Daphnia pulex: one gene and its partners. The protein of the gene in region 2 interacts with the protein of the main gene of each other region in a pairwise test. Links are inferred from orthologs where the notes say so. Each region holds a gene or a part of one and is shown on either strand. Other genes may lie near its edges.

Region 1 (6,122 bases), on a different chromosome or scaffold from region 2:
CATGCGGAGGTTGCGCACGAAAATAAAAACTCTTGCCGCCGGCGCAAGGGATAGCCTCTCTCCATTGGCCTATTGAGCCGTCTTTGCCGTTGGATATTTTGAATCCCCTACCCCATTTTTATTTTATTTTTTATTTTTTGTTTTTGTGTAACGGTCATTTTAGGCGCATTTTTAAGGGTACGTACGGGCATGCGTGGAATGGGTGTTTTTCTTTTTTTTTTTACAAATTGCCAACTTATGCTTCTATTAATAGCATTTTACTTGGGAAAAAGAAAACACAATGACCTGTAATGATTCATTAGGTTCATCCCCCACTTCATCAAAATTCGAATTTAGTTTTGGTTTGATAACGCTAGGGTACGCCATCACACGCATACCATACAGTAACGACCTCAAAAGCGTCTGGAGAGAAAGAAAAATTCTAATGTCGTAGTTTCTTTATTTCATTATTATTGTTAATCGTAGTTATATATCATCCATTTTGTTTTTATATTAAAACAAGAAATAAGTTAGAGGGTAGCTTATATGAAGGGCCCGATGAGTAAATATAAACGGCAATAATCTATCGGCAGACAACAAAATTAGAAAGCACAAGGGGTTATGAGGGGAGAGGGAGAATAATATCAAGCGACCAATAAAAAGGAAAAATTTGTTTGTTGATTAACGTGGAGATGGTTTCAACTCCCGTGAGACGCGAATATTGGCCGGATCGAATTTGCAGCGGCATCTTTTAAAAATATAATAAAGTTTTGAATTTTTGTAGTGCATTGATTAAAAATGTGTAAAATTAAAAAAAAATAGTAATTACATGCATTCGTTAACGTCTTCAGGACAACTCCACTCGCAGCCGGGCTCTGATTTACAGCTCTCCGAAATATCAGACTGCAATGATTTAGTATTAATGCCGGTTCCTGAGGCAGCAGCTTGGTTGACCTTGCCATTTGCTCTGATAAATACAACGTAAATATTTTATTAAAATAGCAGATGTCATCAATGATATTAAAAGAAACTGACCTTCGTTGATTTAAAAAAGGAAATCGAGGAGTAGCTGGTGACGCAATTGCGTTGCCGTCAGCATCTACTTCGGCCTGGAATGGCCGACGACGACGTTGCGGACGTTGTTCAGATGCTGCAGCGTCGGCGGTAATATCAAACAGAGCCAGCTATTTTGAAATAAATGCGGTTAGGATTTTTTAAATTTTAAATGACACGACACAAAGAATAGGTTGCATTTTATAAGCAGAATGACACAAGACTGAATTCCAAATGACGAAAGGAAATGAATATACTTGGGCCTAGCTTTTGCTATTTTTAACCACAAAGAAATATGGAGATTCCTGTAAATTAAGAAAATTGAAAAAAATCAAAGTAATTGACGTTACCATGGCGAAAGATGCAATCAGCAACAGCGTGATAACTTTGGTTGATTTCATGATGATGAATAGTCTGGATAAGAACTGTTAAGATTAAGTGTAGTAACTTTTTCTTGACTAAACCTCGCTCGTTCAAGAGAACACGATGCCAGCTAATATCGACACCGACTGCTATTTGTACCTCCTGTCCTGTCCGCACTAGGCGCGTTCTTCGTCTATCCCGGCGGGCGGCCAAAGAGCGGGCGGCGCGACGCTCACAGCATTTGTTGACTCAGCCGTCGTCTTTCAAGTGAATTACCATATCAATCTCTCGGCAACTTGTCTGAATACTTTTTTTTTTATGTTTTGTTTTTCGTCGTCCTCTGTCCCGAACGCACTCATCCGCTCTTCGATACTTGTGTTCTCCTATCAAATGCGGCAGACATCTAGGTCATAATTCAACATTTGACCTATTAAAGCGTAAACAAAATTCGCAAATCTGGAGTTGTTGCGTTACTTTGACATTCAAAAACATGAAACAGGGTAATGGATATTCGGACCTCATTTCATCACCAAAAATCTAGGCCAATTCCTCCTCCACCACTTCCCCTCTTGTGAGGATGAGTACTACACATCAGACAAAAATTGATTAGTTTAAATCGACTTCCATGAAAATCAGACTACAACTCTATTTCAAAACATTAGCAATCTGACTCCTACTGACACACCCAAACACATTTGTTTTCTTCATTTTGACCTTGTGCTTAGACATGTTTCTGTATCATCCTTTCATTCTGAATACGTAATCGGTATATCATTGAAATTTTTTAAAATACTTAATTGCAATAGTAGTTTAAATCCTAATAGAAACGTCAAAAGACCCTGGTACCAATGCCTGACTATTCCATCAGTTTTCTACTGTTAAATAAGCGACAACAAGTTTATGCTAAAGCAGAAAAAGAAAAACGATTCGATAAATCTGGGGGACTGTCATCAGCACCCTAACAAAGTGATGCTACTTTTGGAATAGTCAGATGTAAGCGGAACTTGGTATAAGGGTGCGGGGAGAGGGATTGGAGAGGGTATGGCACATGCTATTGATTACCTTCTAGTCTAGAGGAAACCGCTTCTGGCTGGCCGAGCATTACGGGGTACGGCAAATACAGCTACTATTTAACCTGAAATTTTTAAATACAGTTTTTTTTAAACATTAGACAATTAAAAATTTCTCGTTGAATATTCGAAAATATATCGGTACATTTCAGGTTTAAACTATGATATAACACTTTTTGTAATTAAAGAGGGCGTTGGAGAACAGATCCATCGCCGGACAAATCAGTTTTAGGGCGGAGCCTATGTATTGACAGAAAGTTCGTGTGTTTTGCCCTGAAAATTCTTCCATTTTTTAACCCAGTTTTGACATTTATTGAAGTTTTTCTCATTGCAAACCTCTACTTCTTGATATAAACTATGGCAGCTACTACTATAAGTGAACAATTGTCTCTCGACAAAGGTAAACGGCATTTACTTCTGAAGGCAACTAGCTGTCGTGGAACGCTCTTATTAATCCCTTAAAATTTATCTTCTAGATATAAACCGAGCTGTGGAATTGCTGGAGAAGTTGATGAAAAGTAAATCTTTAAAATATCAGTTATCAAGAGCACTAGGTCATAATAATTTCTAATCAAAACTAGGTGGAGAAGTTCCAACGGCAAAACTGTCTGCTCTTCACAAGGTGCTGCAGAGTGACTTTCTAAGAGCTGTCAGAGAAGTTTACGAACATGTTTATGAGACAGTAGAAATGGGAGGATCACCTGATGTCCGAGCTTCTGCCACAGCCAAAGCTACAATTGCAGCTTTTGCTGCTAGTGAAGGCCATGCCCATCCTCGAGTCGTAGAACTCCCCAAAACTGATGAAGGTCTTGGATTCAATGTCATGGGAGGTAACAAAATAAATACATTTTTATGCATATCCTTTCCTTGAGAATGCAATGGTGAAAATTAATTTTTATAATTACCAAATGAATGTTTGTAGGAAGGGAACAAAATTCACCAATTTACATATCAAGAATCATTCCTGGAGGTGTTGCAGACAGACATGGTGGTCTAAAGCGTGGTGACCAATTGCTCTCTGTTAATGGAGTGGTAAAATTGATAAACTTACTTCTTCCATTTAAGTTTTCTCTGACTGTTAATTTTTTTTTTAGTCGGTAGAGGGTGAAAATCACGAGAAAGCTGTGGAACTCCTGAAAGCTGCTCACGGTTCAGTGAAACTAGTTGTGCGTTACACACCAAAAATATTGGAAGAAATGGAAATGCGCTTTGATAAACAAAGGACCACGCGCCGAAGACAACCGTACTAAGTTCACTTTAACAAATCTCAATTAGGAGCATCATCGTCCCCATCGCAAATTTTGACTCCTCGTATTATCAATAGTGTAACCAATTCCCCATCCTGACTGTTACAAAAATATTCAATATTGTGTAGCTAAATATTTCATAGTTAAATTCTATGACAAAGACGGTTACACGTTATCACTCATGAATGTAGAGAAACCTTCATTCGTCCTTGCAATTGTTTTTTTGCTTATTTTGAACACAAGTTGCAAAATGGAAGAAATAGTAGCAACCTTTTCTTAAATGAAACCATTAACTAAGCTAAAACCTGATGTTAACTGATCTGTAGACTTATTTGTTGAAATGAATATAACTTCGGAATCAAACAATGCTGTTTTAGTAGTGATTAGCAAATTGTAATAACATTAGTTTCTCAAGCGGACGAAAATGGTAAGCCGGAACGAAATTAGAATTCAAGCAGATTGATTAGAAAAAAGTCATCCATTGCTGCTCAGGAACTCGGTGGACCTTGAGGCACGGCCATTTACTTCAATGAGGACAAACCAGCACGCATAATCTCATCTACCAAAAGCAGATTGCTAGCGATGACCGTGCTAAAAAAATAAAAATAAATAAATAAGTTGGTAACATCAACAATAATTTTGAAACTTACCAAGAATGGAGAATCTGTTTCTTAACACGATAGTTATCATAGATTCCTAAATCTGCTGGAATCATCGGCTCGCCCGATTGTAGATCAAGACCAATAAGGGGTCCACCTTCAACAAACTCTTGTTGCATTTTGACAATAGAGTCTTGAGGGTCAAATCCAGCGTTTTGTGCCAACACTTTCGGAATGACCAGCATGGCATCAGCATATGCTTGAACACCAAGACGGGCGCGACCCTTGACTTGCTCCTTGTATGCAACCAAGACCTTATGAGTTGCAATTTCAACAGCTCCAGCACCGGGAACGACGAAAGCTAGTATATCGATTATCAAATGATATTACCATCTTTTAAATGTGTTGATTCAAATTTTGACTTACTATCTTCTAGTGCGTTGACAACTGCACGAAGTCCATCCCTAATTGCATCCTTTGTCTGAGTTAAAGTATATTTGTTTGGGCCTTTGATCAGAATCGTAACACTCCTGGGGTTACGACAATCTTCAACAAATGTATACTTATCCTCGCCCTGTGAAAGAACCATCAGATTATGTCGTTATATCAAGAAACAGAAAATGTGTAATTACCAAAACATGCTCGTAGACGGCACCGGCATATCCAAGACATGATTCGGAAAGATCATCAAATGAATTCATGGCAATACCACCACAGGCCAGAGTCAATCGCTCCATGTTACGGCGTTTGGCTCGGCGAAGAGCAATGATGCCTTCTTTAGCCAACATATCCAGAGACAAAGGATCGATACCCTGACATTCAAATAGAAAAATTAGATACATCCCAGTCGATCCAGCTAGCATATAGATTATACCTTTTGGTTGATAAGTACAAAAGTCTTGTCAGTGCCATCGCAAAGCTTCTTCTTCAAATCAACAACTTTCTGAACGCGGCTCTCGATGAACTGCCTTTCAGCTTTAACGAGTTTTTCACGCTCATCAGCAGTCTTGTAGAAAAAGCCTGAGTTAACCTCACTATGTTAGCAGAAGATAACATAATTATTATCCAGTCTAAATAATGTCAAAATAGAAAAAGAGTACCTTTTCTCATATTCCATTGAGACGTTGCAAGTGAGGATATAAGCATTATCGACACGTTTGGGCATATCAGGATGACGGGAACCATGATCCATAACGATACCACGGATAAGCTGGGTGTCCATTTCCGTTTTGTGCTGCATCTCCATGATTTCAACCATATGCAGATCAATAGGTTTATCTAAATGTTAAATGCTACATAAGTACACATACATAAACTCATGTTCTTGTTATTTAAGTACCATCTTCCTTAATGGCCAATACAGCATCTACACATGCCTCTGTAAGTAAATCAGCCAACACCTGATGGACTTTTGTCCTCAGAGAAGTTCGGGCAACTTGAAGTAGAATCTCTCTTTTGGCTTCAACTGGGATCTTGGCAGACTCCAAAACTTCCAAAGCTTTGACTTTTGCTAGTTCAAAACCCTCAGTTAAAATTCTGGGGTGAAGGCCCTAAAATTCATTAAGATTAATTTAGACTCATCTTGCAGCATTGAATAAACAAAATTATTACTTCAGAAACGTAGAGATCCGCCTGTTTGAGCAGTTCCCCAATAACCAAAACTGTACTAGTTGTACCATCTCCAGTAACCTCATCTTGAGCAGTTGATGCACGGGCAATCAAGGATGCAGTAGGATGTTGAATTTGCTATAAAACATGAGCAATTACAGTCAACTATTCTACTCTACCATCATTTGGGTTCACTGTTACCA
Region 2 (5,359 bases):
AGATTGGAAAAAGAATATTTTATTTACAGTATCAGTGAACGGCAATATATATATTGATGTTTCATTTTTTGGCCGGTCTCTTTTCTGTGTGTCCCTTTTGGTCTTTTCTTTCTCTCTATCTTTCGCATTTCGTTCCATTTCCCGCTTCCCAAACAACAGTTATTCAGGATTAATCCACAGCCGGTTCTTGTAAGTACTGTCTCATGATAATCGATCAGTCTTCTGTTTTTTCCTTTTTTTAACAAGTCAAGTTCTACGGGGTTGCTATTATTTTTCATTATCATTATTATTTGTTTTTTTACTTGTAATTATTTTTATTTTATTTTTTTCGACCGGGAGAGTAAATAGTTAAGGCCTTTTATTTCTTTTTTCCGTGTTGCCCATCACTTTTATTTTTAAACTTAAAAAAAAAATCCCTTCTCTTCATTTTCTTTTTGCCAAATTGCCTCCGCTCTGGAGTTGAAAGTTATTGGGTTGATTCGTTTCTTATTTATACTATTGTCACTACTCCCCTACTATATAAACAGTGTTTATTAAACACATACACACTCTCTCTTGTCATTTCCACTACTTTGCACACAAGGAAAGAATAAGAGTCATTACTTCAGAGCCGACTTTCCACTTCCTTCTCCCTTTCCTTTAATTGATGCACGATCTGTTTTGGTACTCAAATACAAAAAAAAAAAAAAAAATACAAAAAACGAAAAAGAAGGGGGATCTGGTGGGAAAAGGAATCTGGCGAAGATGTAGTCAATGGACTAAACCACTTGATTTGGTTCTCGCGCATCCTTCTTTTTCTCCTCCGACTTTTTCCCCCTTTTTTCCCACCTTTTCTGTTTGATGTAGCAATTTGATTGATGCATGCCATTATTGACGTCTCTCCGCCTCTTATTTGTTGTTTTGCTTTTTCCCCTTCAAAGTAAAATATATATCTACTATGCATATATTTTCTTTCTTTTTTATATACATTCCTCTTGTTTTTTGTTTTAGAATTTTTTACTGGTCCAATCTCCTTTTTTAAAAAATTTCAAATTTTCATTCATTTTTTTCTCCCCGACGCTGCATATCTACTTCTTAAAAAAAGGCCATTTCTAAGTTTCTTTTTATCCTTTTCTACTGTTAGCTTTGGAATGTTCAATAAACTAGCCGGTGTGACGGTTTTTCATCATTCTTTTGTAATGCGGGTCTCGTTCTTTCTTTATTTGTTCCGCAACGGCTCGATTTCCGAAAACATCGCAGATCTACGTCCGAGCCCAATTCGATTACGACCCGCTGGGAGACGACACTATCCCCTGTGCTCAAGCTGGCATTGCTTTCAAGACGGGTGACATCCTGCAGGTTTGTACAATATCAATTTTTGAGTGACACAAGAGACATGAGCAATTGCATTTCCTTTGTATTCATTATCTCACCCGACTGCGGCATTCGATATTCATGACTCGACTTGTTCTCTTCTTAAACAATGCAGATTATTAGCAAGGACGACAACCGATGGTGGCAAGCCAGGAAGGACGGTGCCGGAGAGTTGGCACCCGCTGGATTGGTCCCTTCTCCCGAGTTGCAAGAGTGGCGAATCGCCTGTTCGACAGTGGAAAAGAGCAAACGAGAACAAGGTAAAAACCCGCAAACAATTATTCATTTGACTAGGATTTTTCCTTTCGAATAATAACGAAGCGAGTGAACAGCAGGATGAAACTTAACTCTAGTTGTCAGACTTGTTGCCCACGCTTCCAGACAAGAAACTTTTCCATCTTAAAAAATGCACCAGCTCGGACTTGTATTGCTCTCCAACTTTCGTTGTGTAAGTCTATTAAGGCTCAGCGGAGGTTCTTTTTTTACAACGAATCAATGACGCAGTCGTACGCGTCCAGCTTCCGGAAGCAAAGTCTTACTAGTGGCTCTCACACAGCAAACACAATTTCCTGAGCTGGCCCCCTCTTTTGTTTTATTGGCTTTTACCTCCTCGCTCTCCCACTCGCTCTCTCTCTCTCTCGACTCAGACCCTTTCTGCGTGTCTTTAATACAAATGCAGACTCCCGACTCTTCATCCGATATTGTTTGGATTTCCTCGTCAATATGACTCTCTTATTGTTAAGACGAGCCAGATGGCGTATTGAGCCGTTAGACTCTGTACGTTGTGTGCCGGGTACTGATCAAACATGGACCCCCCACCCGGGTCTTTTTTATTTCTCATTGCAGTCAACTGCTCGTTTTTTCCCAAGAAGAAGAAACAGTACAAGGACAAGTATATGGCCAAACACAATACAGTCTTTGATCAAATGGACGTCGTGACATACGAAGAAGTCGTCAAGTTGCAGTGTATGTATCAACTCGCCAATCTTTTATGAACACGACCCATGAAAACGGTGTAGTCTATAATCGTCTTCTCTTCTTGCAGCCTATCACCGAAGAACGCTGGTTTTGTTGGGGGCCCACGGCGTAGGTAGGCGGCATATCAAGAACACCATGATAGCCAACCATCCCGACAATTATGCCTACCCGATCCCTCGTAAGTGTCATCGTCGTCCAATCACGATCTCTGGTTCGAATGTCTGGATTTTTCATGTTTTGTTTTTGTTTTATGTTGTCCAGATACGACGAGACTGCCACGGAAAGAAGAGGAAAATGGGAAAAATTATTTTTTCGTCTCGCATGACGAGATGATGGCTGACATTGCTGCCAACGAATACTTGGAATACGGTACGAAAAAAAAAAAATTGGTGTGTTTCGCCCGAGAGAGTTGACTCGAGTTTTTCGTTTCCCTGTTTTTTCCCATCATCAGGAACCCACGAAGACGCCATGTACGGTACAAAATTGGAAACGATACGAAGGATACACGCCGACGGAAAGGTGGCTATCTTGGACGTTGAACCCCAAGCTCTCAAAGTGCTGCGCACCGCCGAGTATTCGCCGTTTGTCGTGTTTATAGCCGCGCCTTCCGTTCAAAATATCAATGACGTAAGAATGTGTTTCTCTTCAACTTGTTGGATCGCGTAATTGACTGTTTTTTTGTTGCCACTTTTGCAGTACGACGGAAGTCTGGAGCGATTGATCAAAGAATCTGCACTGTTGAAATCTTCGTACGGACACTACTTTGACCTGACTATCGTGAACAACGACATTGAAGAAACCATAAGAGTTCTGGAGCAGACCATGGAGACGTTGCCGAGCAGTGCACAGTGGATACCCGTGTCCTGGATTTACTAATGTACAGATGTAATCTAGCAACTTTATATTCTTATTTCTCCTCCATATCTTTCTTTTTCGTTTCCCACTCTTGTTTCATCCAACCTTATCAAATCACAATGGATCTTCTATTCCTTCTAGATCTTAGCGCAACACGTTAAAAAGTTGATCAGCAGCTCAAAGTGAGGAAATTCCGGATAAAAGCGAGGGTTTATTTGAAAGTTTTTTAGGAGGTTAAGTCTGCTGGCGGGCAAAATGCGGTAGAGAGAGAGAGAGAGAGAGAAAGAAGGAAATGGTTTTTAATGCTTCGTTGTTTTTCGCCTGTTCACCGATGAACAAATCGGCGCAAAGTTTCAAGATTTGTCTCGTTATTCGACGAAAAAGGAAAAGAAAAAGGTTTTTGTAACCTTGGCCTCCTAAGTTACTCTTCTGCTTAACAGGATGCGATAGCAATTCAAAACTTTTTAGAACAAGTTTCTGGCGACCGGCTGTAGCGATTACGTTGAACACCTCCCCTGCCCTCTTCACTCCCGACCATTTACACAATCTCTAGCCGGTGCAGCTCATTGATTCCCATTTGCTGGTTACACTTTTCCACGTCACCCAATCCCCCCTCCCGCCCAAACAAAAATCAATTCGCTTTGTGAATCCCTTCTCGCATCGACCGGTCTGGGTGGGGTTGCCCCCCTTCTCTCTCAAATCTTCAAATCTGATACGCGTTAGAATTTCTTCCATGTGTAAGTAATTGTTTGGGTTTTAAAAATTGACTGCCATGCGATGTACTGGTCGATTGACAGCTTCATTTCCCTCGAAAAAAACGGAAACTTGGCATCTTCCAGCAGCGTGAGTCACGAAGACGACGATAGCAAATGACAAAACATAAGACGGGTCGTTTTTGATAGAATCACAAAGCCTGTGCTTTTTTTCAATCACAGGATTTCATTTTTTTTTGTAGCTAGGAGCTAATATAAGATAGATAAGACACTGTTAATGTTTCTGTTATCCTTTAACATTAAAAACCCCCGAGCCCTGTCTTCCTTCTTGAATCGCGGTCCCACTTGGTTGATGGAATATGGTGTGGATGATGACACGCACATAGTTCAGTTTCCTATGCGCGGTTCATTTCCACCATACTCGGAATCTTTTACCGGAATCTGAAGTATCTGAGCAATATGATCGAAATTGGTTGGATCTGCCAGACAGCTGTATTATTACTGAAAGTGTTAGCAACATCTTTCACCGTTCCATCTCTCTTCCCCCCTCTTACCGACTTTTTTTTTTCGTTTCCTTTTTCAATCTTGTGCACGAAAAAATCCAGATGTAAATGTCATTTTCAATGTTGAATCAATAGGATCTATCTTTACAGTTTACAAGAGAATGAGAGGCGGACATTGTGTCGTCGACACTGCGCATGTCTCAACTCCCCCGAAAAAATCCCGGTTTCCCCTTTCCCCATGTTCCCTCTATTGCCAAAAGTAAGAAGACGCATGGGGGAAAAAAAGCTGTTTTTTTATGAACGTTCGTGCGACAATTTTTAAAAATGATGCAGTTGTTGTAATCAAATCAATCTGTTGAGAAAATTTGAAAGTTGAGGGAATGGAAGTTGCAGGATTATTCTTTAAGTGTGAGTTGGAAGATGTGTATTTCTGTATGCATACTTTGCAACCAATGATGTTCAGAATTCTTTATCTGAGTTGACTGATGATGTTTTACAAAAACAAAAAACTTCTTCTTCCCATTCCTTTACTGCCCTTTGCCCCAATATCATCACTTTTCATCACTTGCTCTACACAAGTCGCAACATCCATTCAAAAAGGACAACGCCGTCTTGGTTGATTTTTTATTTTCATTCCATGGCGGCCACATCATTGTTGACTTCTCTTTTTCTTTTCCTTTTTTTTGAATGTATGACATGATTGCGAAGTTATTACAAGATAACACAACAAATAATAGCGTTTTATTCATTTTTAAATATCGTTGGTCACAAGAGTTTTGCTCGTTTGATTATTTGATTAGGTACAGTTTGGAATAATGAACTTGGGTCTATTGCGTCTCTACAGATATTGATTGGACTGATTCTTCGTAATAACTTGTTGATTGATTAGCAAATAGCACACACATTTAAGTAGTCCTTTTTTTCTGTTTTAAGTGTTTATTAATTGCTGTCATGTTT
Region 3 (6,643 bases), on a different chromosome or scaffold from region 2:
AGGTTCGCAGGCCTTTAAATGCCGACAAACTGCCATTGAAAAACTGTTGAATGAAGGACAGTGGCAACCGTAAACCAAGCACCTCCCATTTCTTCCCCCCGCCCTCAATATAATCGTATACGCTTAAAGCTCGATGAATGTAATTTTCAAGCCCTCTTTTCACTTTTCCTCTCAACCGCCCCTCAGAAAAAGAACAACTTAGTCTCTGCAGAAGAAAAAAACACTTTCGCCCCGTGGTAAGCGTGCCGCAACGTTTCCCATGATTGGTTCCTTCCCTGTGAAATTTATTATCCGTTGTCCGTACTGACGAGACACTATACTGTTACATAACACAATAACAAATATGAAATAAAAATCGAAAATATCGAATGTTTTTTGTGAAGGCTTTGCCAGCGAATTAACAAAGGTGCAGAAAAAAGAACCAAAATGTTTAACGGATTATTAAACATTTCAAATGAAGTGCGGCCATAGCATTTGTTAGTCTCACATTATCGTGAACTCTTCTAAATATATGATGATTATTTGATTAGTAAATTAGCCTATGGGTAAATTATTTGGGGTACTACAGTATTAGGTTAAATTTAATAAAAATTAATTGACATTAAACTACAATTGTTACCGCGTTTCGTCTTTCTCAATTTTATTTTATTTTTTATTGTATTATTCAAATTCTATAGCCTACATATAACATTATGATTTACAGTCCCTCTGATAGTCTGATTGCAGATTCCCGTATTGACTACCATGCTCCGTGCTTGATGCTTCTGATCTGAGCCTGAGCGATCATTTTTCTACTCTTTTGGTGAACTGTATGCAAAACATTCCATTTTGTGTTGCTTAGTAACCAAAATATTCAAAATTTAGTTTCATTACATTTCGTACTCGTTAAAGCGTGAAAAGCCGGGGAATGCAAATTTCTAAACGATTTTGTATTTTTTACTGTTAATCTCCGTAAGATGGTGTTTACTGTTTACTGCTGGGCTGTCAATGGGCGTCTGCTGGGCTTGAGTCATACCCATAAAGTAATTACTGATGATTCAGTGAATTCTGTGACTGATTTCTTCACTCCCATGTCAAGAAGAACTCACTTTAATCTACCATGGACATTAACAAAGCAAAAAGCATTGTTCTAGCTACGTTATTTGTGGTTACACTATTATCATGTTTACTGCCATTAAAGCTAATGGATACAATCCGAAATGTCGCAGATCCTGTTCGGAAACTAAGGTCGCATATTTTTTTTCTTTCTTCTAAGCAAAAATTGATGTTTACGTGTACGTTTTTCTCTCTTTTCTTAAGGTACTCACGAGTAATCAGTTTGTTGAACTGTTTTGCTGGAGGAGTTTTTCTTGGGACCTGTCTACTAGATTTGTTTCCTGAAGTGCAAGACAACATTGATGAGGTCATGGTTGCGTTGAAAATCAACAGTTCATTTCCATTTGCCGAATTCCTAGTTGTTCTAGGACTCTTCACCGTTTTAATTGTGGAACAAATATCTCTTGATTGCAAACATGAACCTTCACAGTAAAATGATAACAACAGTATGTTAAGTGCAAAACGACTCATTGCTTCAACTTTGTTTTTTAGACAAGAAATTGGTGAAAGAGAACCTTTACTTCAAGGTTCCACAAGGGAAGTAAATGCAACAAATGCTGATCCTGAGGTGTCCTTTCTTTATGGAAGTGGACAGCCTATCAATGAAGCATCTCATCATAGTCATAGTGGTCATAGCCATGATTCTCATCATTCAGCCAATTCATCTCTACGATCTCTCTTATTATCAGTGGCTCTATCTCTACATTCCATTTTTGAGGGATTAGCAATAGGTAATATTGAATTTCTAATCCTCTCTTCATATAAAGTTATACTAATCTCTTTTTTTGTTTCTCAAAACATCACAGGATTGCAAAAAAATGTAGAAGAGGTTCTGCAAATTTTTGCGGCTGTAGTGCTCCATAAATGTGTAATTGCATTTGGTCTTAGCCTCAATCTTGTTCAGAGTAATCTTCGGACCAGAGTGATAATTCAGTTGACTCTAATATTTTGTCTCGCTGCTCCGATTGGTTTGGGAATCGGAATGGGCGTTGAGTTAATTAGTAACTCTCTTGAGGCAACAATATTGAGTGGTATTTTGCAAGGTATGGCTTGCGGAACGTTCCTTTATGTGACCTTTTTCGAAGTGCTGCCGCACGAGTTGAATAGCAATGATCTGAGAACGCCAAAAATGCTCTTCATCATTCTCGGCTTTGCCGCGTCTTGTGCTATCGTCTTTCTGGATCCTGACACTGCAAAACCAAGATGTCCTTAGTTTATAAAAGTCCAATTTTATATCTCTGGAGAGGCATTCTCAACTCAATATGAATGCCAAGGTCTATTAAAACATTATTTCTGTGTTTATTGAAAACTTGACATTTAAACTGTTTTGCAAACAATGAGGCGCGTTAATTTCGAATATGATCATATAACACTTTCATAAATAAAAATGTGTACATAATTTGTACTTTGATACTGTAAGCTTGGATTTTCATAAATATAATGAAGCAATAGTGCGTATAATCATGGTGACTAATCATAATTTCAAACATCTTGGGGAAAGAGGAGTTCGAACTAAAAGCTTTGGACGACAACCGCTAGGCAGCGCACTGGCGGACGTCAGCGTTTACCCTTACTCTCGAATGTGGTAATCAAGAAGACGACAGAAACTTTCGAACAAGTTCTGGAATCTGAAGTTGTATTGTTCTATAATTATTTTGGAATACATACGAGTGTTCGTTGAATTTCTAAAACATGGCTGAGTCGAGTGAGCCACAAAAAATAAAATTGACCGTTAAAACCCCGAAGGATAAGAAAGATGTAGAGGTACCGGAAGAGGCCTCAATCAAAGAGGTAATGCTCAAATGAACAATATGTAACAAATTTGTTTTTCTAATGAACTCTATTTTAATCCTGATTCTTGGTCTGCATTCTAATGTATATTTCCATTTTAGCTGAAAGAAATTGTAGCTGAAAAGTTTGGGGCAACTGCTGAACAGGTGTGCCTTATCTTCGCTGGCAAAATTCTTAAAGATCAAGAGACATTGAAAGGGCACAACCTGAAGGATGGACTCACAGTACACCTTGTCATCAAATCTGGCAATGCCATCAGAACCACACAGGAATCACCAAGCAATGTTTCATCCAACACGATTCCACAGCCGTCTGTAACTCCTAGCAGACCGGCAGAGCCGAGTCCCTCATCTCCCTTTGGAATTGGTGGATTGGGTGGTCTTGCAGGTTTGTAAAAAAAAAAAAAAAAATTTGAAAAGTGTTATGTTATAAAATTGTGTTTTTGTTTATTTAGGTTTATCAAATATGGGATTGGGCTCAGGGAACTTCATGGAGATGCAGCAAAATATGCAAAGGGAAATACTTTCAAATCCTGAAACACTACGCAATATGATGGACAATCCTCTTGTTCAATCACTTATGAGTAACCCTGACTATATGAGACAAATTTTGACTTCTAACCCACAAATGCAGCAGTTGCTGGAGGTAGGCAATCTGTGTTATAAAAGTATGGAACTCTGACTAAAATAGAATTTGAAATTTTGCAGCGTCATCCAGAAATCAATCATGTAATGAACAATCCAGAACTGTTGAGACAAACGATGGAAATTGCAAGGAATCCTGCCATGTTGCAGGAACTTATGCGCAGTCAGGATCGGGCTCTTTCTAATTTGGAATCAATTCCAGGAGGTTACAGTGCCCTTCAACGAATGTATCGCGACATTCAGGTTTTAAAGAAATGGAAATCTTTCAAGAAGCTTTGCTCACTGATGGATGTTGATTGATTCTTTAGGAGCCAATGTTCAATGCTGCTCAAGAACAGTTTGGTGGCAATCCTTTTGCCGCTTTGGTTAATAACGCCGGGCCTCTTGCTGGGTCGGCTAATCCTCAAGCAGGACAAGAAAACCGTGCTCCTTTACCAAATCCCTGGTCTGGACCATCTTCGACTCAGTTTGTTTATTGTCAAGTATGCTTATTATAGTAAATGAAACAAAACACCGTTTATATTTTTAGGTCGCCTGGAAGCAATTCTGAGACTAGAACTGGTGGTGAAAATCGAAGCCCATCCAGTTCAGCTGCCCAAGGTGTAACAGGCATGCCAGGCATGCCCGGCATGATTAATTCACCAGGAATGCAGTCTTTGATGCAGCAGATTGTCGATAATCCGCAACTTATGCAGAGTATGATGAATGCCCCTTATGTCCAAAGTATGTTCCAACAAATGGGTTCAAATCCACAACTAGCCGAACAGATGATCCTCAACAATCCTCTATTTGCCAGTACGTTTAGTTAATTGTTTCATTTCGTGTTATTTTGTTTTTCAATTATTTATTTTATAATATCACCGTCAATCAGGCAACCCAGCTATGCAAGAACAAATGAGGACAATGCTACCAACATTCATGGCTCAGCTCAATAATCCGGAAATTCAGAATTTGGTCACAAACCCACAAGCTATGTCGGCGATGATGCAGATTCAACAAGGAATGGAGCAACTCCGACAAGTCGCACCATCGTTTGCTACTACGTATGACAACTTCTCATTCTATAATAATCGGCAGCGAATGTAAATGTAATTCTTGTTCGATTGATTTTGCAGGCTTGGTCTCGGTTCTCTTCCTCCGCCTTTGAATCCTGCTGCAAGCACTACACCCGCTGCGTCGGATACGACGACAACAGCTCCTCCACCGACGACTACCCGGCCTGGATCTGACGCTTTTAGCAACATGATGGCAAGCATGGTAGAAGCGCAATAATTGATTTTTACACACAAATTCAGTAAAACAACTATTTATTTTTCGAACGGATAGCTAACTTCCCTAGCAGGTCAAGGTGGAATTGGAAGCGGAATTGGCGGTGGTTCCACCCAACCACCGGAAGAAAGATACCGTTCACAGTTAGAACAATTAACAGCTATGGGATTTATTAACAGAGAGGCCAACCTCCAAGGTAATTTTTAAGAAAATATTCAAAACAGACAAGTTTCTTAAAATTTTATTTTTGTTTTTAGCCTTGATCGCAACCTTTGGCGATGTGAATGCTGCTGTGGAAAGATTACTGCAGAATCGCCCTATGATTTAAATGTTGTCTGAAGATTTTTTGTGTTCTTTTATTTTCATAATTACCTTTCCTTCTTACCACTCTCTTGCCATTCTTTTCTTATCACCTAGTAATTCCTTTCTAACTCTTCTCGGTTGAGTATCTTGAAAATGATCAGTTGATTTCGATATCGAGCGCTAACTTTTCAAGACTGTTTACAAGGTACTTTTTCTTGTAGTCAGACGGGTTGTAACATTGATTTCTTTGTCTAACATCTCTTGTCCTATTACCCTCCTTTAAGTTTTTTTTTCCAGGTCTTTCCAGACACATTTCCAAGCCTATCACTTCTCCCTTCCTTTGGTTGTATAATCTGATGTTAGAATCCATCCAATATATAAATGATCAGAACGTTTTGTTGGTGAAGTCTTATGTAATTCAATATTTAATCTTGGATAGAATTTCAAGTACCCACACGTGCATTATTCCCATTCCAAAAGCAAAAAAAAAACAAAGATAGGTATAGAAAGCACGTCGGCAAAAACAGGATCCTTGAGGTACTTGGGTTAACATGTGTACAAAGACCCAAATAAAAGCGGATTAATTGGCTAGCGGAGTGGAGCAGACGAAGAGGAAGACATGCTGCCCAAGCTGCTAGGAGGCGAAGTGGTTCCGGCCAACTGCGAAATGCTGCTGCCGATTCCCAGGCTACTACTGGCAGGTCCACTGCCAAGGCTACTGCTTCCTACTCCGAAATTCATTTTTTCCATGTCTTCATCCAGCTGATTTTGATGCAACTCTTGAAGTGTATGAACCAACCGCGTCCATTCGTCTGCTCTTGGAACAGCCAATTGCTGAAAATTTACAATTCATTTAAAAGTTAAACATTAAACATTAGAAGTCAACAGTACGAAAGATATACAAGATAAGTTCATACCTCTCCAACTTCATAAACCCAAATTCGCCCATTATCATCGCCCACAGTGAGATTCATTCCAGATTGGGTCCACTTGACACGATTTAAGGCAGGATTGCCGTCAACATTAATACTAGTAACTGGTACCTAAATAATATTCGAGGTTAAAACCAAATTTTAGAGGTATGAAAAATCACAAGACCAACCTCTGTGTCTTGATTAAGATTCCAAACATCAAGACGGCCCATGCCGTCCACTGTGGCGAACACAGCTGGATGAATTGGAGACCAAGCTACGTCATAGACATAATCACCATTGTCTTCAAATGAATACAATGGTTTGTTCTCCTGCAACATCGAATAAAAGAAATGGATTAGTAACTTGATCCGTAAAAATAAAAAAATAAAACTATTCTCACCTTGAGACTCCAAAGTTTGACGGTCCAGTCGACAGAGGACGTAAGAAAGAGGTGTGAAAAATCAATAGGTCCTTGAGAGTTGTGACAGTCCATGCCACGAATTGGTCCTTGGTGTCCCTCGTAGGTATCGATAATTCCGGCACGCGGTCCGTGACGACCAGCTATTTCGATTGATAGTCGTGTTACTTCGACAGGATGCAACGAATTATTTGAATAAAAATACCGGA

Evidence for each region.
Region 1: the proteins of peripheral plasma membrane protein CASK-like (region 2) and protein lin-7 homolog C-like interact in a two-hybrid assay, tested with the Caenorhabditis elegans proteins (5 studies listed by BioGRID). The link is inferred for Daphnia pulex from reciprocal best matches to the Caenorhabditis elegans genes lin-2 and lin-7.
Region 3: the proteins of peripheral plasma membrane protein CASK-like (region 2) and ubiquilin-1-like interact in a two-hybrid assay, tested with the Caenorhabditis elegans proteins (2 studies listed by BioGRID). The link is inferred for Daphnia pulex from reciprocal best matches to the Caenorhabditis elegans genes lin-2 and ubql-1.

The regions. Positions count from the first base shown.
Region 1 is NC_060028.1:9,841,764-9,847,885, forward strand, and holds protein lin-7 homolog C-like, read left to right. Parts: upstream 1-2,673; 5' UTR 2,674-2,822; coding exon 2,823-2,865; intron 2,866-2,941; coding exon 2,942-2,983; intron 2,984-3,046; coding exon 3,047-3,295; intron 3,296-3,387; coding exon 3,388-3,497; intron 3,498-3,559; coding exon 3,560-3,715; 3' UTR 3,716-4,075; downstream 4,076-6,122. Other genes in the region: T-complex protein 1 subunit zeta-like, read right to left, coding at 4,234-4,303, 4,363-4,672, 4,738-4,885, 4,944-5,123, 5,186-5,345, 5,412-5,589, 5,651-5,861, 5,923-6,057 and 1 more.
Region 2 is NC_060018.1:1,086,805-1,092,163, forward strand, and holds the end of peripheral plasma membrane protein CASK-like, read left to right. Parts: intron 1-159; coding exon 160-189; intron 190-1,239; coding exon 1,240-1,338; intron 1,339-1,468; coding exon 1,469-1,613; intron 1,614-2,199; coding exon 2,200-2,319; intron 2,320-2,398; coding exon 2,399-2,509; intron 2,510-2,592; coding exon 2,593-2,700; intron 2,701-2,782; coding exon 2,783-2,958; intron 2,959-3,027; coding exon 3,028-3,207; 3' UTR 3,208-5,133; downstream 5,134-5,359. UniProt on the Caenorhabditis elegans protein: May play a structural role in the induction of the vulva. May be required for the localization of signal transduction molecules (such as let-23 receptor) to either the basal membrane domain or the cell junctions.
Region 3 is NC_060019.1:8,123,764-8,130,406, forward strand, and holds ubiquilin-1-like, read left to right. Parts: upstream 1-2,623; 5' UTR 2,624-2,787; coding exon 2,788-2,886; intron 2,887-2,987; coding exon 2,988-3,273; intron 3,274-3,340; coding exon 3,341-3,531; intron 3,532-3,593; coding exon 3,594-3,773; intron 3,774-3,838; coding exon 3,839-3,996; intron 3,997-4,059; coding exon 4,060-4,325; intron 4,326-4,401; coding exon 4,402-4,573; intron 4,574-4,645; coding exon 4,646-4,787; intron 4,788-4,856; coding exon 4,857-4,995; intron 4,996-5,056; coding exon 5,057-5,127; 3' UTR 5,128-5,493; downstream 5,494-6,643. Other genes in the region: zinc transporter ZIP1-like, read left to right, coding at 1,100-1,227, 1,300-1,524, 1,588-1,826, 1,902-2,308; cytoplasmic dynein 1 intermediate chain-like, read right to left, coding at 5,691-5,936, 6,020-6,145, 6,205-6,345, 6,417-6,577, 6,640-6,643. UniProt on the Caenorhabditis elegans protein: May play a role in the ER-associated protein degradation pathway (ERAD) possibly via its interaction with ER-localized proteins ubxn-4 and cdc-48.1 and/or cdc48.2, providing a link between the polyubiquitinated ERAD substrates and the proteasome.